Bombyx mori: one gene and its partners. The protein of the gene in region 1 purifies or fractionates together with the protein of each later gene. This does not show direct contact. Links are inferred from orthologs where the notes say so. Each region holds a gene or a part of one and is shown in the gene's direction. Other genes may lie near its edges. The genes, in order: paired amphipathic helix protein Sin3a, metastasis-associated protein MTA3, breast cancer metastasis-suppressor 1-like protein, UDP-N-acetylglucosamine--peptide N-acetylglucosaminyltransferase 110 kDa subunit and inhibitor of growth protein 1.

Region 1 (4,127 bases):
CACATGTCGCATATTTTGTCAAATACGTTCATATACATGTAGCTTTGAGGCTAACCTACACCCATTTTATAATAATTTCCAGTAATTTTCAACTGCTAATTAACACTTAAATATATCTCAAAAGTTAATATTTTAAATTTTACACTGGTTTAGAAAATAATCAGTTTTTTTCATTTCCTGAACATTTTACATTTTCAGAAATGTGCCCTTTTCGAAATTGCATATTCAATTAAAGCTAGTTTCACGGCCTAATTTTCCTACGCTCGAACTCAGCACAATATTCAATTGTCAACAAACAACTACTTAGTCATCCATAGTTTTTATGATCATTTATGAATAATTTTTATTCAAACCCATAATGCTTCGCACAGGTTCCAAAGCATGTGACTACCCCGCCGGCTGTGGTACAGCATCCGCAGCATCATCACCTCAAGAGATCTCCGAGTATCTCATCGACAGGTCAACGTAAGTTTCTTATGTTTCACATTGTTTCAGGTTGAGTAACTTGATGATTAGTTTTTGTTTATTTGAAATTAGTAAATGTTTAACAATCAAGCAGGGATTTATGTTTATCAAAGAGCCATTTTTAATTGTTTGTTGCATGAAATGTCCATGAATTGAGAGACCTGGTGTTTTGAACTCTTAATCTCAATTCCTACAAACCAACACATATGCAACTTCAGAACATTAGGGCAGGATGGTGATATCTATCCTCACAACATAGCTATAAATGTTTTTTATTTATTTATTTATTTTTATTGCTTAGATCGTTTTTACTTAGATGGCTCACAGCCCACCTGGTATCAAATAGTTACTGGAGCCCATAGACATCTACAACGTAAAACCGCGCCACCCACCTTGAGATATGAGTTCTAAGATCTATGGTTCCAACGGCCCCATCCACGCTGGTACCTACCTGCGCGGACTCGTAACGGGTCCTATGACCAGTAAATCAAACCAAATCAATTTTTTTTTATTTAACATCAATGAAAGTACACACTTGTTGAACGTCAAAAAGAACTACTGCCAATTCACAAAAAATTAGCCTCTTGTCCTGAGAAGAGCTGGCAAGAAACTCAGCAGGCATGTCTTTTTTTTTTAATATTAGTTTTTTTTAAATATTCATTTTTACAATGAGTATTATAACGTAACAATTATAGCAATATTGAATGATATATGTCCCAAATAACATGTTAAACTTAAAGATGACGTTCCCCACAGCGTCGTCAGCCCCGCCGCCCGCCAAGAAGCCGCGCGCGTCGTGCTTGTCGGGCGCCACGGTGCGCGACGTGTCGTACTCGGAGGCGGCCAAGCTGGCCACCATCCACGACTACAGCTTCTTCGAGCGGGCCAGGAAGGCGTTGCGCTCGCAGCAAGTCTACGATAACTTTTTAAGGTAACTACATTTATATATTACTAGATGATGACCGAGCTTTGCTCGTTTTTTTTTTTTTTATAACGCCATCTTGTTGTGTCTTTAAAGCGGTTAGTTGCCCTCAATTAAGAAAAATAGTATTATTATTCGTCAATAGATGTCAGGAAGAGTCATAAAGTTGTTTATTGAAAACACGAATAAAACAACATTTTCTGAAAATAAATCGTAGCTAGATCGATTTATCGCCCCCGAAATCAAATCAAATCAAATCAAATCAAAAAATTTTTATTCAACATAAATGAAAGTACATACTTGTTGAACGTCAAAAGAACTACCGCCAATTCACAAGAACTAGCCTCCGTCCTGAGAAGAACTGGCAAGAAACTCAGCGGGCATGTTTTTTTTTTTTTTTTTTTTTAATTAGCAATTATTATTTATTAATTTTTTAATATTACATAATTTTTTTTAAATCCCCTGTATACTAAATTTTATGAAAATCGTTGGAGCCGTTTCCGAGATTCAGATTATACATATATATATAAGAATTGCTCGTTTAAAGGTATAAGATAAGATATATGTAAGTAGGGGTAAGACCTCTTGTGAGTCCGCACGAGTAGGTACCACTACCCTGCCTATTTCTGCCGTGAATCAGTAATGCGTATCGGTTTGAAGGGTAGGGCAGCCGTTCTAACTACATTGAGACCTTAGAATCTCAAGGTGGATTGCGGCTTTTACGTTGTAGATGTGTACGGACTCCGGTAACCACCTAACACCGGGTGGGCTTTACCCACCCATCTATGCAATAAATAAATAAAAAATCTATTTTATCTAGCTGTTGCTGTTGATGTGGTGATCATTTCTCAGGCACTTTAGAGTACAAAAATAATTGTATAAACGAAATTTGGAATGAATGAAAACTCTCATTAATAAAATAACTTACTCAAAATTAATACTTTTTCTATCATCTTCCCAAAGTATTCAATTACCACGTATTGATAGATTTAAAAAATATAAATAAAAGGGTTATCTACTAAATGTAATCATTTGCATTAATTATATTATAATTTAATTTAGTTTTTTATATTAAAAATAAATCTTCGATTGATTGAAAAATAAAACATTTAAAAAGAAAACAAAATTTTGTTAGACCCACCAGTAGAAATCACTTATTGAAAGCTGACAAGTTGAAATAAATAAATTTAAATTTAAAAATCCACACCAATGTCTTATCTATATGTGTTAATCTAACATAAAACATAACATACAACTCGTATGTAAACCGGTCACCGTCCTCGTCGATCCCGTCGCTAGCGACGAGTCAATTAACCCTCAGACACAGCCCACTGAGTTTCTCGTCGGACCTTGTCAGAGGGTCGCGTTTCCGATCCCGTGGTAGATTCTGCGAAGCACTGCTCTTGCTAGGGCCAGTGCTAGCAACAATCCGGTTTGAGCCCCGTGAGCTCACCTACTAGTTAAGGTTACGCTGAAAGAGCCTCTCAAGGCTATCTTAGGTAGGAAAAGAAAAAAATCGTATTTAAAAAATTTGCGTTAATGTATTATTTCACCATAGATGCCTGCTCCTGTTCACGAACGAAATAATATCATCGTCGGAGTTATTGTCAGTGACGAGTCCGTTCCTGTGCCGCCACCCGGAGCTGCAGCGCTGGCTGCACGACTTCGTGGGCCCGCCCTCGCCGCCGCACACCCCCACCCACACCCCTAATACGGGTAACTATCTATCTATAATATCTGTACTGGTGGTGTAATCTTTGTACTGGTGGTAGGACCTCTTGTGAGTCCGCGCGGGTGGGTACCACCACCCTGACTATTTCAGCCGTGAAGCAGTAATGCGTTTCGGTTTGAAGGGTGGGGCAGCCATTGTAACTATACTGAGACCTTATAACTTATATCTCAGGATGGGTGGCGCATTTATGTTGTAGATGTCTATGGGTTTTAGTTATCACTTAACACCAGGTGGGCTGTGAGCTCGTCCACCCATCTAAGCAATAAAAAAATTATAAAATAAAACTATATATCGAGGGGTGAAAGGCTTTTTATTATTTTATGCTTACTATTAAACTTTTTGTCGAGCATAAAATCATTGTTTTCGATAAAAATTTGTCACGCTGTTTACACAGGCTACCCTTGGACCAACCCTATACCGGTGGAGCCCCGCCCTCGGTACGAGAGTGTCGGCGCCCTCGGGGCACAGATGCGAAATGATCGCCCCCAAGGAGACATGGCAATGGATATTGGTATGTGTATTGTGATTTACAATTATCAAGTATCTGTTGACTGAATAGAATAGTTTCACTAAACTGTATTGCATCTTTTATTTAATTCATTATATGGTCTACACAAACTCGCTGTTCACATGATAAGTTGTTACTGAAATTGAATAAGTGAAAAAATCGTTTGCAAGAATATTGGTATATAGATGGCCTTCCTTCAAATATCTTTCATATAGCTATCTTTTCTACAAAGAAATCAAACACTGCCAGTGAAACAAAAGTATATGTGTTTGTGGAGTTTTGGAAGAAAGGAAAGGGAAGTCGTTTGATGTGGAAGGCGGAAGACCGCATTATGTGGAAGGCATTGGGGAAGGCCTATGTCCAGCAGTGGGCCGATAAAGGCTGATGATGATGATGATGATGAACTGTAAATAAAATTGAAATTTTTTTCTTTATTTTCCTGATCGTTTCTTGTTTTCTAGTATTATCTAATTGATTTTGTTGTGCAGATCTATCGACGT
Region 2 (4,821 bases), on another chromosome or scaffold:
ATATATCTGCAATTATAAAGATTTTATCAACTTTTTTCATTTAAATGCTCCTCCTGTAAAGCTACAAATTTGGAGTTAGCGTAGTGTTCATTGGAGGAAAGAAACTTTATTTAATAATATTTATTTAATGGTTAATCATGTTAATTTGATACTTCTCTCAGTCTGCAGGAAGCTTTTGTTCTAATTTTTTCTGTGACTACATATTATATTTTAGATAGAGATATAAACAAAGAAAATAACATCTTAAGCATATTGCTTACCTAATTCATGAATCTGTACCATTTTACCAAATGTTATTAGTCCAACGAGTGCATTTTGAGGCATTAAACTAAGTGAAGTCTGCAAGGAATCTTTGAGTGCCCCAAGTTCTTCCTCATCTAAACAAGTATCAACAACAAGCAGGTAGATTGGGGGCATAGCCTGTGCTCGCGTTATTGTGTACTCTATGGTGGAAAAGTTAGGAATCAGTTCTGCAGGTTGATGCTGTTCTGATATAGCAGCATATTGAGGTGGAAACTGAAATTAAAATATATTGATTACTCTATAAGTACTTTAAAAGAAAAAAACATTAGACTAATTGAGTTAGTGGCGAATTTCTTCAAGTACTCACTGGGTTTCGTTGGAAGCAAAAGTTGCAGACCCATAATTTAGCTCTGTAATCCACCTGGCACATTGGGTTCAATATAGCTCTGCATGTATTTCGTGTACAGAGTACAGGCTCGTACTGTATCGGTGGTAGGTCGGGGCGCTCCTTAAGCGGTTGGTACAAGCAAGCCAAAGGCACAACAAGCCTCGTAGCCTCAATTCTACTTGATGGCCATACGTTCCAAGTGAACCGTATGCCATCGCGGTCTTCATTCTGCTGGATGAACTCCTCGTATGTGGCCATATCGCCGATCTATACGAAAAAGATACATTACAAAAACATCATAAATGCACACAGACTCTGGTAACTTTAGAAGCACTATTAACCAAATGTACGTACCAAAAAGTCATGCGGCGAACCAGTTATAAACACATGAGCAAATTTCTTAAATCACAATATGTCTTCATTCAAAAATCCCATAAATTTCTCAATTTTTTAGAAACCAAGCAGACTGGAGAGGCTGGCTGATTTGGCAGTTGTCAACACCATAGACAAATCAGCTGTCATACTGGCCACGTCACATTTTTACACGCCATCCATCACAACATATAAAAATAATTTAAAATTTTACTATCAAACGAACCACAAATTAATAAATCTTTAAATATATAAATAACATTTTTAAATAAAAATACTTTTAAGGGAGAAAAAAAATAAAAATTTTTGGTTTTCTTTATGGTTCTCTGACGTTCCTTTCCACATTCCAAATTCGAATTAAAATTAATTTTAGATATAAAACACAATTTATTATATTCAGTCTTCAATATACAAATAAATATTATGTTAAAATTTATTTAATTAAAGAAACTTTCTTACTTCTTGTTGAAAAAAAAATTACAGTAAATATTTAATATAATTAAAATCTTGTCAACACTGTTCCCGTTAAAAGAACGAAACGTGGTTGAATGAATTATTTTTTTTATTTTAGGACATCGTAAAATAAATTTTCAATGGACGATATTATTTTCAAACAATACTTTTTATAATTCAAAATAATAATCATTTGGATTTTATTTGTGGACACAAAATTAATGACATGTCATTGCTTTGTTTCAAAAGCAGGAAGTTTACGCCAAAAAGTGCGACTGCGCACTGGCCAAATTAGTAGTGTGAAAGAAAATGGCGATCAGCGAAAGGCGTCCGGAGTTAACGTGATGAAAAACATTGTTAAAAGCTCAATTACATAGTGTTATAGTTATTAATTGTGTCAGATGTAGATTAATTAAGTGTTAATGAATAGTGATTGTGTATAAAAATGGCTGCGAATATGTACAGAGTCGGCGGTGAGTAGCAATAATTGGTTATTTTTGTTGTAGCTTCGCCGGTTCACCGCCAGCCGACTAGCGGTGCTTTGCTTTGATTGTCGTACTTTCATTAATTGCTTATATTAATTAATCCAAACATATTAAACACCCAAAAAATGCCGGTTTTTATGTATCCGTGGAGGTTATCGTGTTTATAACCGTTTGATAAAGTTTGCGGAAAAGTTATATTTTACCAAAATTCGTCAAATCAAATAGGACATTAGCATTTACGTCTAGGTATCATTGTATCGGCTCGTGTATCTGCGTGCGGGCGGTTAGGCATGAAGCGTCTTTAGTTACCTAACTGAGATGATAGTTTTTTAGAATAGTTTGATGATTTTGACGTGAGATTTTAGGTTATATTCGATGTTGTCAAAACATTTTGATACGAGAGCTGGTTGTTTTTGGGTTATTTGGTATATCTTGGAAGAGTTTAGGGATGATAAGAAAGTAAACAGTAAAAGTGTGGCGTCGCTAGTCATTATAAATTATTGGTTTGTTTGTGTATGGACGGTGGTAGTCGAGGATGTCGGTTGCTGTAGGATATTGATGCCGCGAGTCGCGAGAACAACACGAGCGCCTCATGTACCGCACTCGGCGTCCGTCGCGTCGAATGTTAATTAGCCCTTCCTTTTGTATCACTTCCTATCATGTAATGTAATGCTTCTGTTAAGGTTATGTCTTTGTTTCAAAATTAGCTAATTCTTAGTAAAATAATTTTGTTAGAACCGAGATGGAATGTATTTTATTTAATAATTTCATTAAATGGGTAAATAAATATTACTCTGTGATCAACTATAAATTAGGGATTATTAAAGTTTTTAATTTTAAAATTAAATCTTGACCCGTAGTTTTACACTAACCTTAGGTCAATATAGTAAATCTTAAAATGAAATATTTTTTTCCCTCCAAAACATAAAATTAACAATTTCATTCTAATTACCTATACAACAATTATAAAATATGTTCTAAAGCCAATAAAATTTTACTTTGCTATTAAATCAAGTTAAATTGTCAGTTCAATGAATTAATGTTAATCTTTTGTTAATCTTTTAAACCTGAAAGAGCTATACACTATTTTTTATTACTCTAAAACTACTGCCAAACTGTTCTCATTATAAAAATAATAAAAACATTTTGAAAATGCTGTCAAACACAATTTTTTGCAATCAACACTAATAACATAAACAAACATGCATTTCTTTATTCTATCAAGGCCACCACAAATACTTCAGATGTACTGAAAGCAGTAGGTATGCTCCAATAAACAAAGTTTAATATTGCAAATGCAAAGGATTCAAAATTAAAAGGTATTTTATTAATCCAATGATTGATATAGACCATGATCACAGTGATTATTAAATCTATTCTGGCATAAAAGTTTAAAGGGTTTGTCAGCTGTCATTCAGTGACCCTGCAATTAATGAATTAAAACATTTCAGGGTATCTAGGAAAAGAATTATAACAATACATTGCATTCTTTCAGTTTAAATTAATAGTATTGTGTTAGCGTAGTGTTATTTTAAGTATATTTGTTTGTAATAGAATATTTTGATCTACAACAAAACGTCTCTGCTCTACTCTAGTTTGTTATTGTATCTATTTATAAATTTCTACATATTGCAATTTTAATGCAAACATGCAGATATCTAATATACATCTGCATAATACACAATATAAATTTAATTTAGGTGCTGAGTAAAGAAAATACACTAAAAACACACTGACGCAGTACAATAAGAAACCATAATAATATGATATACACATACAGATATAAATAAATTCAAAATCACTAGGATGATTATTAAAATTTCAATAATGAAAATGGAAAATAGTAGTTTTTTTCAAGTGTTTTTTTATTCAATAAAAGTATAAAATTGTCTTTATCAGTGACCTTCAGCTTTTGAAAATTGATTGAGCTCAATGACCTATGCTTAGTTTTGTCCAACTAAAATACTATTTTTTGTTATATAAGCCAACATAGTATTTTTATGCATATATAAATTTCAAAATATTTAATTCCTTTTTTACGGGAATATTACGTATTTATATAAATTAACACTAAAAGTATTTCATAAAAAAGCATTAATAAAATAAGTTAATTATCCATTTTCAAAGTGCCCATAAATATATTTAATCATACATTATTCTTCTTCTATTTTTCCTGCTTATGTCGCTAATACCTACACTAATAATATCAGTGTTATACACCTATATAATGTAATAGAATTACTGAAGTTCATTTTAAACATAATAAAAATATAACAGTTATCAAGAAAGGAACTTAAATAAAATTAAAATGTGGTGTGTGTGAAAATATGTAATTTAAAACAAATGACCTTATACTATTACATTCCTTTCTTGTCGCGAGCTTGCCAAGTTTTACGAAAATATCTCTAGCAATTTCTTAAAGTACTATATTTTTTTATTGAGTTAATAAATAAGATAGATCACCTATCTTGGGATACAAGGCTTAATGTGAGACTCCCTTAAATAAGGAAATCCTTTCTAAATGCATTTTAAATATTTTATTTTGGTAGTATCACCACGCTTATGCCCTGTCGCCAATTATTTATCAAGCAACGTATTTAAAGACGACGGGGGATGAGATCAATTATTATATTACGTAACGCTGGTATTACTATGATTAAGAATAAAAATTGATCAGTAATGTCCATATAATATTACAATGAAACAAGTCCTGAGAATATATTGTGAATGTTAAAGTTGTGGCATTGTTTTATTAAAGACTCCAAGGCGTTTCAATTGTGGCGTGATTGTGAAAGTTTTGGCTAAAGTTCTGGTTTGACTGGTCTCGTCATGGAGAATCATTGATAATATTATTACATGTCGTTATTAATTTTTATCATC
Region 3 (4,634 bases), on another chromosome or scaffold:
GGTTCATAATAATATTATTAAGTTTGTATATCGAAAACCGACGATCTAAGACATAAAAATCCTACCTATTATATTGACCTCGACCTCACGGCTCTAACCTGACGTTTGATAATATTCGCCGTAGCAAGAGCAGTGCTTCATAGAATTTACAACCGGATCGGAAACCCGACCAAATGAGAAGATCCGGTGAGAAACTCAGTGGACTGTGTCTGAGGGCTAGACAACACTCCGCCTATTTAACGCAATGACTTCGTGAGATTCTTTTTTTAATAGAGTTTCATTGCGCATTTAGAAACACTACGTTTGGTATTAACGATGTTCTATTGGGTCGCGTGGTAGATTCTGCGAAGCACGGCTCTTGCTAGGGTTCGTGTTAGCAACGTCGTCAGGTTTGAGCCCCGTGAGCTCACCTACTAGTTAAGGTTCCGCTGATATAGCCTCTCAAGGTTATCAGCTTAGGAAGGAAAAAAAAAGTTATCATGTCAATCACCAACATTATCTTTATGGACATAAACACCACTGCATTTTATATCTTTAAACGCATAAACAATCTGATCGCTCTCCGTTATAAGTGGTCATATAAATATAAATCTAATTTAAGGCACTAGAAATAACGAAAGTGTTGTATCTGATGGTCTATAATAGTCACCTTTAAATAGTCTGTTTAAAGTGGAGTCCTTTGAGACGAGCCGAGGCACATAAATTGTTTAGTTTAGTTAATTTTTAACTCTTCAGGATTCAACTATTAAACGTTGATTACTCATACTGGCTTACTAATTATTTAGGATATAACAAAGTGCCTAAATAATTAGTGGCAGTGGGCTGGCCATATATGCCGTAGGACTGACGATCGCTTGAGCAGACGGGTTCTCGAGTGGAGACCGCGCAGCGGAAGACGTAACGTGGGACGCCCCCTAGCTAGATGGTGCGATGACCTCCGCACGGTGGCCGGCAAGAAGTGGATGAGGAGAGCCGTAGACCGGGCTCAGTAGTGTAGATTGGGAGAGGCCTATGTCCAGCAGTGGACGACTGTGGGCTGTTGATGATGATCAGATGATGATGAAAGTGCCTAAAAATCTCCAGATGTGGCTTTTAAGGCTATTTCAGATAAATCAGATGCTTTAATTCCGCCCCATTTCACTTTTCAAATAACATGGCTTCGACCTTTAACAGCAAAATAAAAGATGACACTCATGGTATGATATCTTTGCCTGTCATGTATTGAACAATCTGAAAGTAGGTACTGTAAATATACATTTTGACGGTTTTGTTGTAGGAACGCGAGAAATGTAATTGTGTGAATTAATTTAGCGTCTTCAGGTTTAAACGATTACAAGGGTTTATTAACCGTTTAGCATCTGTGGAAGTGCATAATTGTAGGACAATGAAACAAAGTCGCTGGACGTGGTTTCTTGGGTTCTTCCCAATAGTCCACTGAAGTCTTAACCAGTAGCTTTTTTTTGTTTGTTTTTTTATTGCTTTTGTAGGCAGACGAGCGTATGGCCCACCTGATGGTAAGTGGTTACCGTCGCCCATGGACTTCAGCAATGCCAGGAGCAGAGCCAAGCCGCGCGCTGCCTACTGCTAAAAACGCTAGCTTCCATTTTACGTTTCATTGCATTCGAACCCAATCGATGATTCCGATAAATCATTTTATACTATTATATATTATTATATAAACATACAACATATTATTATATTATTTTCCAAATTATAAAATACACACATACAATTATACAAGATTGTATGTTATGGTATGATACTTTCGCCTTTCCTGTTGAAAAAATAAACCATTATTATTTTGACTTTTGACATTATCTTATCTATGACATTGACGTTAACTTCACTTTCACAAATTTATTTTGACGTAGGTATTCAAATTTTGCAATTTACTAATTGGAGCGAAAACACAATTCATTACAAAATTAAAATTAATTCTACTTCATAATTAAAAATATATTTCCGTAATGCCGTCAATGAAAGTGGAAGGCGATAGTGATGGAGATGGAGAAATGTCTGGGGGTGATACCGAAAGATCTGGGGGCTCTTCCCGTGGCCCAGACCGGGACTCTAGCGCTGAGGAAGCTGACGAGCCTGACTCCGACGATTCTTCGGAAATGGACGAAGGCGAGTGTGAGAGACGCAGAAACGAATGTCTCGATAACTTAGGTTCGTAGATAAGTTACTTTTGAGGTTATGTTTACAAAACAATGTCGAATTGTTTTCGAAACATATGGGCTCTAATCGCTGTTTCAGTAGAGTTATCGTATATATTTTTAACTAATAATACATTAGATTATTATAACATTTATAAATAATGTACTAAATTGAATTTCCTAGATTAAATTTCTAGAATTTCATTGCTAAAGTACTCTTAATGGACACGTTTGTATTTCGATAATAATATTGAACGAAAAAGACAATTTAAATTCGCTATTTGATAAAAAGTAAAAGTACAAATAATGCAATAATTAAAACTAGCTTTACAGTTGAACAACCAAATTCTTCTGACTATATAACAATTTTATGTTGAGCAATTATATTTTTAGGTGCTATTAAGTTTCGTAAATAAATTAAAACTCCCAAAGCCTCCTTGTCAGAAACATAAGTGTGAAATATTATTGTTGATTCTAACAAACTTTACCGAAATTATTCACAGCAAAACTTGAGAGACAGTTCACTGTGCTTCGAGAACAATTGTACGTAGAGAGAGTGAAGCAAGTTGAATATCAACTGGCCGAAGTGAGGGGTGGTCGCTCCCAGGAATATCTCGGTCCACTTCGAAGACTGCAGGAGAATATGAGAATCAGGTGCTGAAATTAAATAAAATTCATTGAAAACTTAGATACATTTGACAGTGGATCTTTTGAGATAATTTAATTCATAAAAAACGATAAAGTAGACAAATAATCATACCATCACCCCCACAAATATTACTTTCTTGGCTAACTAACTACAACATAAATAAAAACAATACTATAAACAATGATATTGTTAATTTTCTTGTGGTGTCTTCTTTCTTAGATTCTGTATTGCCTGAGATCTGTATCTTCTCTGAGATACTCATATGGAGTTCTGTGAAGAAGCTCAGACCCTACCTGTTGTTTAGTGATTTTCATTCCAAAAAGTCCACTACTAACTTTTTTAGTACTAAAATCAATTCTGAAACCGGCAGTAAAGTCACTTTGACTTCACTTGACTGTCTAAAGCAATAAAGTGATTAAATTGACAATGCTTCTAGAACAATAAATTCCATGGGAATAACTATAACTATAATTTGTTTATAATATTACAAAAAATGATAACATTTTAACAAATAATAGAAGTTTTTCAGTTTTTTAAGTGGTACTGAGTCAACTTGAGAACCACCAAAACAGCCATTTTACAACTTGTAATTTTATTGAAACAAAAGAAAATGTATCTAAAAATAAAACATTATTTGGAAACGTCCATCTCACAAAATGAGTTTGAATTCTATTGCAATAGAATATATGCTTCATGTTGAAACAGCAGAATTATGCAGGACCATTATACTTACCTATCTATCCTAATCCTAATCTGAGTATTTTGGTAGAGTGAATATAAACTAGGAATGATCTAGGCTGGAAAAAGACGGAAGAGCTTACTGCTAGATACTGACTAATTAGAATCAGGCTGTTATTTGAAGTTTAAATTCTTTGTGTGTTTATTTATTTTTGAATGCACAGTTAGCTGATGAAGTGGATCACAGCCCACCTGCTGTAAGTTGTTACTGAGGACCATAGACATCACAATGTGTGACAAAGCTGCTACATGTCCCTAAATATAAAGAGCTCATGTTAGATATGTGTTGCAAGTCTCACTCCTGCCATTCCAGCACCTTCAGGAAGTACATTATTACAGGTGCAAAACAGTTACTAGAATATGAGGCACTGGCTCTATGACAGTCTGTTACTTTTACGAAGTTAAGATGTGATTTAAAAAATAGACAATGATTTTGAAGCATTTTAGGCACTGGAGTTTTTGCCCTGACCCTTTAAGAGTTCCTTGGTAGTACAGTGAGGTAGTAAAAGCTTTATGAAGCCAAGATTCCATACCAGAACCCTATACATGATAGTTATAGTAAATAATTTAAATGAGTCGTCTATTATCAAAGGCGGCAATCTGTGCATTTGGACAACAAAATTTTATTGATATGTCAATACAGATTGATTTGAATATAATCGTCTCCTTCAAAGAATACGGTTCAAAACCTGCATTAAATAAAGGTTAATAGTTAACCTGTTATTTATCTAAGATGTCGTTCCGAAGAGTTTTGTGACTGCCGATGGAATACAAAGTCAATAATTTGTTTTTCTGATTTACCAATCATTGTCCAAAAGTCAGATTGCCGCCTTTGATAATAGTCGACTCAAATGTATGAATGAATTGGGTGTATATGATATATGATCTAATTCAGTAACGGTTATCTCCAGAATCGAAGTAGCCGGCATACTCAAGCAAATGAGGATCGAGAACATAAAACACAAGTTTGAGGCTGAAGAACAAGCAGCACACCAACATTTCAAGGTAAGTAATTGTTATACCCTCTCAGGAGTAATATCTGTGTTCAATAAAAACAAAACGTTGTTTCCCAAAGCAAAACCAACATTTTA
Region 4 (4,729 bases), on another chromosome or scaffold:
AAATTTCCTAACTCAGCACACTTCAATCAGTTAACAACTGCTCAATTCATATCATACCTGGTGCCTATGCTAGCGCCATTTTGGAGCATTTTTGAACTGTTATCTAGTACTGAAAGTGGGACACTTTTTCAAGCTTCTCCCATATAAGATGATTCTCCTTACCTCTAGCCTCCATAGATTGAGGATAAAAGATTTAAGTAATGTGATTAAGGTGTCTATGACAGTCACTGGTAGACGATAGAATAAATTAATTATTTAATTATTTTTACCTCGAGGTCTCAATAAGTTCTATTTTGAAAAGTAGGACAGTGGTTGTTGTATAGAACTCAGACTACAACTCGCATATAAAGGTGCATGGCGGCTTTTACGTTTTTTATGTCTATAAGTTCAAGTAACTGCTGAATACTAGGTGGGCCGTAAACTTGTTCACCCATATAGGCAATAAAAGAAATCAAATTAACTATTATTATTACTGCTATTACTATTACTAGAAAACTATTTTTTGTTTAATTTAGCTAATTTAGTTTTGTAAAAGTACCTAATCTAACATACCCCAGTTAATAGTCTTAATGATATAGGGAAAAGACGGTGTAATAAAGATGATAATGCACTAAAAAGAAAAGGGTGCGTGTACTTATGTACGCGCGTAAGAAGCTATACTTTATTTTTATTAATTTTTTTTTAAAGATGAATAATTAATAATAAATATTTAACGTTAATAATTTAATAATATTTAGTATGATAATAATACTTTTGTCATTTATATTACTAAAAAATGAATGCTAATAACACTTTTTTTACGAGTGTACATGCGCTAAAGTTCACCTGCGGCTATATTCAGACTCGCCAAGTTACGTCGGTCGTATTGTAATGAGCGATTTAGCGGGCAACTTCATTTCTGTTAATATTGTGTCACGGTGCGCGCGCATAATAAAATTTCACTCTCATCAATTTTTCATAACGCGCCTAAAGAAGTATAACTTAAAAAATTGCAATTTGAGAATTTTACTACCATGAATAATTGTGAACAACAGTACTGAATTATAGAGGTTAGAAGAATTATTTATCCACTGGCAGTAGGTAGACAATTCATGTTGTATAACTAATCGCTGGCATTAATTGTTCATAATCGTGATAATTTGTCTCTGAAAAGTTCTGAATGATGCATTTACCGTTAAAAAACACCGAGGTTTAAATAGTATGGTAAGTCTAATTCAAATACATTGATAAAAAATAAGTCTAAAATAATGATTTTTTGGTTTCTAACATGCCGGTTTCAATATTTAACTACGATAGTTTTGCTCCATACACATTATTTAATTGAGGATCAGAAAATATTGAAGCAATTTAAGTAAACAGTTAGATAAGAATCTTGCATGCCATTAATGTCAGCTTCTAGTTTACATTTTTTGAAGTAAATGGGATTTTTTTAAAGTTGACATCACTTTGTATGAGTGTCTATAACAAGGACTTGGCGTGGCATTACTATTATTTTTGCCATTGAAAAAAACATGCACTACGACGATTGCCGTACTAAAAAAATCTGAAGAAACTGAGCATCCGCTTAAATCATTTATCCAATTTTATTCGTATCTCAATGCCATAAAGACTATAGTAGTATGTTTGTTCCATTATTGACATCATATTGACAATTCGACAATTAAAAAGTTATAGGATGTTTCCGCTATCCGTCGCGTCGTTGGGATTTGCAGTTTGCACTTATGAAGTAAATTTAGCTAGATTATACATGGAGATTAAAATCAGTAACTATTTATTACTTACAAATGTTTAGTGATTTATATGTGTGCCTGTGATCAGTCTTCAAATTGAACGATGATAACAAAAATGCAACCGCAAGCAAATGTAGCAGTGCCACAGTCTGTCACGACGCAACCCCAAGCTCAGCAAATCGTCGGTGTGCCTGCAAATGCTGTGATATTGAAAATGTCGGACTTACAACAAATATCTACTGTGGGTAAGTCTCTGGAAAGGTTTAATATTGAATTAGTTAATATTAAGTATTACATTTTGTCTGGAAATTTGCAAAATTTGCAAATTGGTGCCTACATAGTATGGTATGTCATGTTAGAGTAATGTCTCTTGGAATTTTTTGTACACGTCTTGTTTAAAATAGCGATGCATTCATTTACTGATTCGGATTACTCACGTATTTATAATATTAATTTATGTTTCTAAGATTTAAGTGAAATCCTTTGAAAAAAGCCCGACGCGCTATTCATCAATGACTAAAATGACCAGAAATATTTTAGGTTCTCATTGCTTTTTTGGTGATTAAATTGCTGCCTATTATAAACTTGTAGAAGAATCCTTTGTCTAATGAAGTATCTGGGATGATTTGACATGTTTAGTTACATGAATTTACCTCTGCCTCTTTGTTTCATTAAAAGGCTTTGTTGCCCTCATTGAGATTAGTTTATTGAAATCTTAGTATATTTTGAGCAGTAGATAGGTAGAGTAAGACTCCAAAATTTAGATAAAAATAAACTTTTTGGATTGTATTTTCTAAATCTCTATATAAATTGAATAGCTGTTTGCTTTCCTTTCATCAATGTAGGTTTCAATTACTTCCTACAATAACTGTATTGTCCTGTTCAATATATGTAATGTAAAACTATTATTTTAGCCTAAATGCTTTCAGAGAGGTAATGAAGCCACTGAATTATAGAAACAAATAAAACACTAAATCACTTCTTCTACATTGATGGGAAATAGTTACTTGCCAAACCCACAAACAATTGATAATAAGATCTCTTATACTGGGTATTTATTTACTTTTAATTTTGCCTTAGGCTTACTTGAATTAGCACATCGAGAATATCAAGCTGGTGATTATGAAAGTGCAGAACATCACTGTATGCAGTTATGGCGCCAGGACAGTACAAACACAGGGGTGCTACTCCTACTCTCGTCTATACATTTCCAGTGTCGGAGACTGGACAAGTCTGCTCATTTTTCCACATTGGCGATCAAACAGAATCCTTTGTTGGCTGAAGCCTACAGGTGAGGAAGAGCACTATATACTTTTATGTATTTCTCCTATAATTTAAAGGTTTGTCTTGAATTCTTAAAAAAATGAAACCTTTATTACTGTATAATCAGTTGTTCTGTATTTCGAGAATCAATTTGGAACAAGTCCAAGTGATTTGTGACCATTCCTATAATTTATAAAATAGTTTATAAAAATAACTGTTTGCAGTGTATTGTAATGACAGCTTTGAGAGACAAGACACGTGTCTCTGTCTGGCTGTGAAAGTTATTTAGATCATACTTTAACTATAACATATATGATATTGTAATGTATAGAAAGTTTAAATTAAATACAAGTTGGAAATATTGAATTTCTAATTTGCTTCATTTCACTTCACTTTTACCTTAACATTTTATTAATAATAAAAATGGACTAAATGAAAGTGCTAATAATAAAAATCGTTTATACAATAAAGATTTATACAATAAAATAAGTTAAATCCAGCGATGTGCGCATGATGTAGTTTATTTCATTTGGTTAATACAAAAATTATGTATTGCTTATTAAGGATACATACAATACATACATTTTTTGTTATAAGAAAGTTTACGGACAGTTTTCGCTAAAAATATTTAGTATTTTGAATACTTTTTTGTCAAAATAAAGTAAATTTGGCACAAACAGCACATTAAAAATTTGGAGCAACTACTTATTTAGGACAAATGTGGTGTATGACCTTGATTAATTAATTGCTTAAATCATTAACATTCACTGCAATAAATCTAATTAGTTGATTAACAAAAATAACTCATTTTCTATGTGGAAACATGTTTCAATTTTTACAATAATTATTAAAACTACTGGTACGGTTTAATCTCCTGTTTTCATAATCAAGACGTATAAGGCTGAGAAAATAATTCACTAATTCACAAATGAAAAATCTAAAACATTTTGTAATACTGTAAGGTACCTAGTACCTACTACCTAGTAATAATTTCTAGATCTTCTGTGTCAATGTTATTATAAATTAAAATTGTCTATTGTTTTAAAACTACTGAAAATTAGGAGATTTTTAAATGAACAATGTATTTGGGTTAAAATGGTGTCTTCTTTTTTTTTAAGCTACCTCATCATGCTTTTTAACTAACAAGTTTTTGTCATAAGTACATTCAAGAACATTCATATATTTTAAAACAGAATTGTTTATAAAATCAGACACCCGGCTCATAATCAATTCAAACTACAACACATGCTGAATAATGTTGAACTGTATAACTTAAATTTAATATTCAATAGTCTCAGGGTATTATTTTCTCAATCATTTGCACTCTTAGTAGAGAGGTCGTGATCATCATTTCGGGTTGTGGTATATCTAGTATTCCAATACCTAACATATTTAATAATCACACTGACTCCGATAATTAATCGAAACAGGATCCTATGGTGCATACACGAGGATCACTAGCCTGTTTGTAATGATCATAATTTGTCTTTAATTTTTCGTGCAGCAACTTGGGCAATGTTTACAAAGAACGCGGGCAGCTTCAGGAGGCGCTGGAGAACTATCGTCACGCTGTCCGTTTGAAGCCGGACTTCATCGATGGATACATCAACTTGGCTGCGGCTCTCGTTGCCGCCGGCGATATGGAGCAAGCTGTGCAGGCTTACGTTACCGCACTGCAGTATAACCCTGTGAGTATGTAAAAGTTTTTAAGGGATGATTCTAATCAGTATTATTTG
Region 5 (4,635 bases), on another chromosome or scaffold:
GACGTCGACTGCTTTCCATTCTGTCCGCAGGATCGGGAATGTAGTTACCGGCGGCCACGATGAGAGGGTTCTCGTGTCGTGCCGCTTTATCGAAGTGGCGCATGGACGCCGACTGCAGATACTTACTGATGGACTCTAAGTCCAGGTCGTCATGGAGGACGACGTTCCTGACGAACCACGGGGCTCCGACGGCTATCCTGCAAAAACGGGATTGAATAATTTGAAAGGATTTTAAGTGTATGCGAGCCGCGTGAGCGAACACTACACTTGCATAGGTCATGACGGGGCGTATGCAAGTTTTGTAGAGTGTCACCTTATTTCTAAGGGACATTTTACTTCGCCTACATATCATCGGGTAGAGACGTCCTAGGATGAAGGCGGCACGATCGCGTACCGTCTTGATGTGGGGGCGGAATGTCATCCTACTGTCGAGGGTGACGCCTAAATATTTGACCTTCGGGGCCCACGGTATGGGCTGGTCGTACATCGTGATTGGGCGAACGGCGGGGGCGGGGGTGTTGACGCGCCTAGTCGGGAGAGGGATGCTCAGCGTGGTGTTCGGAGGGCGACCCCTTTTGAAGAGCACCGCTGTGCTTTTCGTGGGGTTAATGTCGATGCGCCACTTCCGGAACCACTGTCCCATGGTGGTAGCTGCGGTCTGAAGTCGTCGATGAAGCAACGCCTTCTTCCTACACGAGTAGTAGATGGCGGTGTCATCGGCGAAGAGCGCCAGATGGGTCTCCGGAGACCGGGGTATATCGTTGATATACAAACTGAATAGTAACGGGGAGAGGGCGGAGCCTTGCGGGACTCCGGCTGTGACGTGACGGGGCCGGGAACGCGTTCCCTCGACTCGATATCGGAACGAACGGTTCGACAAGTAGTCTCGTATGATGAGCACGAGTCTGTCTGGCACTCCCATGTTATACAGTTTGTATATCAAACCGTTGTGCCAGACTTTGTCGAACGCCTTCGCTATATCGAAGAAGAGGGCTCCTGTCGGAATGGGGGTTTTTATTTACTTGATTATGAAATTACTAATTATATTATAAGAATAATAAGTTCTATATATTTTCTAAGTTCGTAAATAATTTATTATGTGAGGCCGGAAGTGTTGCTCGATAACAATTGTTCTACTCCTGTGCAGTTTCAGAGTTGCTAAACGGTTAATAAGAAAACTAAATTAACAAATTAAAACAATTATTCACAAAACTTCACGACTCATGTTCCGAATTATTTGAAAAAATAGGAATAAAAATTCTGAAAATAAGTTTTATATAAATGGAACTTTTATTTTTAGCCTATTTCTGTGTGATGATCGTTTTTTTTTTGTAATTTCATTATTCAGTAAAACTTCTTCATTATTAAAACAATAGAAACTCTATGAATTTAACTTAAATCAAGTGTGTCAAAAAGAAAATAAATTTAATTACCTTTTTACAAATAATAAGTAAACTTATTACAAGTAATAAAAAAATTAAAATGATTCTTTTAAATATTTAACTAAAATCAAAATTTCATTTTTATTTTCAAGAATCTATTTAGATTTTATTGGGTTGTGATGTATGCATTGGGAGTATGTTTCTGAACAGCTTGTGTCACTGCCTGGAACAATCAACAAACATTTGAAACATTTCCGAACGCAAACGATGCTTGACGGGACTGTTCAGTTGTTAAATATAGTGAACTTGTTTTGCTTATTCGCTTTCGAAGTGTTTTTAGTGTAATTTATCTGATTACTATTATGAAAGGTCAATTTAGACTATAGCAATGTTAAACCAAACTTCGACTGAAGCTTTGCTTTCAGCCGCTTATGTTGAAAACTACTTAGATTGCGTAGAAAACCTTCCAAATGATCTTCAGAGACATTTATCACGTATGCGGGAGCTTGACGTAACATATAGGGGTAAATCACACATTTGTTACTATATTTCTTCAAATCAATAACTAATAAACCCTTTTCAATTCTGAATTTATATGTTTGAAATGTAAATTTGTTTCGAAACAGCTTTGTTGACGTTTTCTTTCAACCTAATTACGTATGCATTCCTTTGTATATTTTATGTTCTTAGCACCGAAATAGCCCAGGTTTTAGTTTTTAAATTACATTTCTATCAATAATTTTCAGTTTGTTTCACTTTTCGTGCATTTAGAGGTTATTGCAATTTGCCTTCATGCCCCTAATTTGTTAAATACTTTTGCTCACTAATCGATTTTTTTACTAATTAACTAGACTGAAGTTTAAATTTAAAGAAACCCCTATTAATATAGAAGTTCAATTTGATCCAATTACTAATAATGATTTGTATTTTTTAATGATTTCTTTAATAAAATTATGTTTCTCAACATTCTATAGTCATCAACGTATATAATATGATATACAGTTCTACGGTCATTTGAAAATCAAGATAGAAGAAGGACACAAAGCTGTTCTGTAATTGAAATTTATTTTTTCAACAGAATGTTTGCGTGAGGCAGAAAAGCATCTAAATATTTGTATAGGATCAAGCACAGAGGAACGCCGTCGAACCAGAGCTGCACTACGCCTACAAACAGTTTTAGTTGCTGCACAAGAGATAGGAGATGAGAAACTACAAGTTGTACAAATATTACAAGATCTCATCGACAACAAACAAAGGTCACTTGATTCTGATCACAAAAAATTATGTAAGTCAAATTTTGCCTTATATAGAAATGTAATTATTTAATGTAAATCAATTTAATTACAATATGTTATTGGTCTACCAACAGTATCTTGTATAGAAGTAACAACAAATGGCACTACAAAAGAAGAGGTGACTCCAACTCAAGATGTACTCTCCAAGACAGAGAAGGAAGCCAGTGTGTTAACAACTCCTCATCAAAACATAGCACCACCGCCTCCTCCAGAAAGAACAAATGAGAAAGAAAAAGAAAAAGTTGAGAAGGAAAAAGGCAGTGGTAGATATCAAATGCTGAATAATTTATTAATAATCTCTTAATTATTACTAATTTTTAATTAAATTCAATATTGTATCTACTCAAATACCTTGAATTACAGAAATCTATAAGTTCATTAAACCAAAGACTCCCCTCCATATTTTCTTACTGAGATGGGTTAACAACCTCATGACTCCCTGGGGTTAACCAAGGTGGTATTACTAACTTGTTTAATCTCACAATACCCTTTGATTTTGCGGAAATTTGAAGGCAATCAAATTGTATACCTAACAAAAAATATAATCAGAAGACAGCTTTAAATAAAATATTTCTGTTGGCGATGCAGCAATAACCCATTCTATATATAGTATTCTTATATAGACTATAACTATTCTACATTTATTGCTGTAATAAATTGCATCTTCTTTGTATAAAGTATTTACATATTGCAGTTTTACTATAGTATCACAACATGAAACATTTTAGAAAAAATCTAAAATACAGCAGTTATGATAGATTTAGTCAATGGTAATCTATTTCACACTTTATTTCAGGTGAACGGTGGTCAAAAAGACCACGTAGATCAAGAACAACAGCAGGTGCAATGACAGATGGAGCAGATTCCAGTGAACGAGATAGTGAGAGGCACACACACAACACAACACATAAGAAAGGTAAACTGAGCAAACTAATAAATCTTACATTTTTTTAATATAAAAATACATAACATTTGCTTTGTTTGTGTTCCAGGTATAGGTAAAAAGAAAAAACGCAAAGTCCGACAAACGACGCAACGTTCGGAGACGCCACCGGAAGAGCCAGATGCCATCGACCCCGATGAGCCTCGCTACTGTCTCTGTGACCAAATCTCATTTGGCGAGATGATTCTCTGCGACAACGACTTATGTCCTATAGAGTGGTTCCACTTCTCGTGCGTTTCTCTCACAACTAAACCTAAAGGGAAATGGTTTTGTCCCAAGTGTCGCGGCGACAGACCGAATGTCATGAAGCCGAAGGGACAATTTCTTAAAGAATTAGAAAGATACAACAGAGAGAAAGAAGAAAAAGCATAGTCTTCAAAGAATCATTAATGTGGATTCAAAATAAGTGAATATTAATTTCATCAAGATTTTGTTTCTGTAGGTACCTATTTTAAGGTACTATACTGAATTATAATTAAAAACAAGAGTATGCTTTCCGGAGGATTATTTTATTTTCAAACCCCTTTTAAAATTAAAAACTTGTAAAGGTAATGTTTATTTACGTTATGATGCCCCACATGTTTTGAATCCATGATTGACAGACATTCGTCTAGAGCACTTGAAGTATTTAAATGTGATTTCACTTTTGTAAGAGATGATTAAAATTATTTTATACAAGTTGTGACAAATTGTTATTATGGCATATTCAGATTAAGAATGTGCCTATTAATGTGAATAACAACGGTTGTTCTTAATTTACGTAAAGCAGTTAATTAACCACAAGGAATAATATATAATAAATGACTGAAATACTAACATCGGATTTCATCTCACAATGTTAAATAGATGCCAATTATTTTTGTAATTTCGATATATTATGTTAACTTTTCAGTTTTGGGCAGCGTATTTTATTATTTATATTAAGCACAAAAAACTTGCCTAGATGTGCTCTGTGATTCAGGGTCATTAAGAGTTGACGCACATAATTTTTCATGAGAACAAAAAAATTATAAAC

What was found.
Region 2: the proteins of paired amphipathic helix protein Sin3a (region 1) and metastasis-associated protein MTA3 purify together in Homo sapiens (affinity purification with mass spectrometry; 3 studies listed by BioGRID, with this or other methods). This does not show direct contact. The link is inferred for Bombyx mori from reciprocal best matches to the Homo sapiens genes SIN3A and MTA1.
Region 3: the proteins of paired amphipathic helix protein Sin3a (region 1) and breast cancer metastasis-suppressor 1-like protein purify together in Homo sapiens (affinity purification with mass spectrometry; 3 studies listed by BioGRID, with this or other methods). This does not show direct contact. The link is inferred for Bombyx mori from reciprocal best matches to the Homo sapiens genes SIN3A and BRMS1L.
Region 4: the proteins of paired amphipathic helix protein Sin3a (region 1) and UDP-N-acetylglucosamine--peptide N-acetylglucosaminyltransferase 110 kDa subunit purify together in Homo sapiens (affinity purification with western blotting; 4 studies listed by BioGRID, with this or other methods). This does not show direct contact. The link is inferred for Bombyx mori from reciprocal best matches to the Homo sapiens genes SIN3A and OGT.
Region 5: the proteins of paired amphipathic helix protein Sin3a (region 1) and inhibitor of growth protein 1 purify together in Homo sapiens (affinity purification with mass spectrometry; 5 studies listed by BioGRID and IntAct, counting the BioPlex papers as one, with this or other methods). This does not show direct contact. The link is inferred for Bombyx mori from reciprocal best matches to the Homo sapiens genes SIN3A and ING2.

The regions. Positions count from the first base shown.
Region 1 is NC_085108.1:1,019,741-1,023,867, forward strand, and holds part of paired amphipathic helix protein Sin3a, read left to right. Parts: intron 1-371; coding exon 372-465; intron 466-1,221; coding exon 1,222-1,396; intron 1,397-2,945; coding exon 2,946-3,103; intron 3,104-3,513; coding exon 3,514-3,630; intron 3,631-4,115; coding exon 4,116-4,127. UniProt on the Homo sapiens protein: Acts as a transcriptional repressor. Corepressor for REST. Interacts with MXI1 to repress MYC responsive genes and antagonize MYC oncogenic activities. Also interacts with MXD1-MAX heterodimers to repress transcription by tethering SIN3A to DNA.
Region 2 is NC_085131.1:3,800,360-3,805,180, forward strand, and holds the start of metastasis-associated protein MTA3, read left to right. Parts: upstream 1-1,500; 5' UTR 1,501-1,901; coding exon 1,902-1,929; intron 1,930-4,821. Other genes in the region: protein transport protein Sec23A, read right to left, coding at 261-516, 611-889. UniProt on the Homo sapiens protein: Transcriptional coregulator which can act as both a transcriptional corepressor and coactivator. Acts as a component of the histone deacetylase NuRD complex which participates in the remodeling of chromatin.
Region 3 is NC_085124.1:2,162,586-2,167,219, forward strand, and holds the start of breast cancer metastasis-suppressor 1-like protein, read left to right. Parts: upstream 1-1,512; 5' UTR 1,513-1,967; coding exon 1,968-2,169; intron 2,170-2,659; coding exon 2,660-2,810; intron 2,811-4,454; coding exon 4,455-4,548; intron 4,549-4,634. UniProt on the Homo sapiens protein: Involved in the histone deacetylase (HDAC1)-dependent transcriptional repression activity. When overexpressed in lung cancer cell line that lacks p53/TP53 expression, inhibits cell growth.
Region 4 is NC_085129.1:5,336,331-5,341,059, reverse strand, and holds the start of UDP-N-acetylglucosamine--peptide N-acetylglucosaminyltransferase 110 kDa subunit, read left to right. Parts: upstream 1-1,488; 5' UTR 1,489-1,833; coding exon 1,834-1,975; intron 1,976-2,810; coding exon 2,811-3,021; intron 3,022-4,497; coding exon 4,498-4,681; intron 4,682-4,729. UniProt on the Homo sapiens protein: Catalyzes the transfer of a single N-acetylglucosamine from UDP-GlcNAc to a serine or threonine residue in cytoplasmic and nuclear proteins resulting in their modification with a beta-linked N-acetylglucosamine (O-GlcNAc).
Region 5 is NC_085113.1:6,461,003-6,465,637, forward strand, and holds the start of inhibitor of growth protein 1, read left to right. Parts: upstream 1-1,365; 5' UTR 1,366-1,770; coding exon 1,771-1,906; intron 1,907-2,460; coding exon 2,461-2,667; intron 2,668-2,751; coding exon 2,752-2,940; intron 2,941-3,473; coding exon 3,474-3,593; intron 3,594-3,669; coding exon 3,670-3,992; 3' UTR 3,993-4,635. UniProt on the Homo sapiens protein: Seems to be involved in p53/TP53 activation and p53/TP53-dependent apoptotic pathways, probably by enhancing acetylation of p53/TP53. Component of a mSin3A-like corepressor complex, which is probably involved in deacetylation of nucleosomal histones.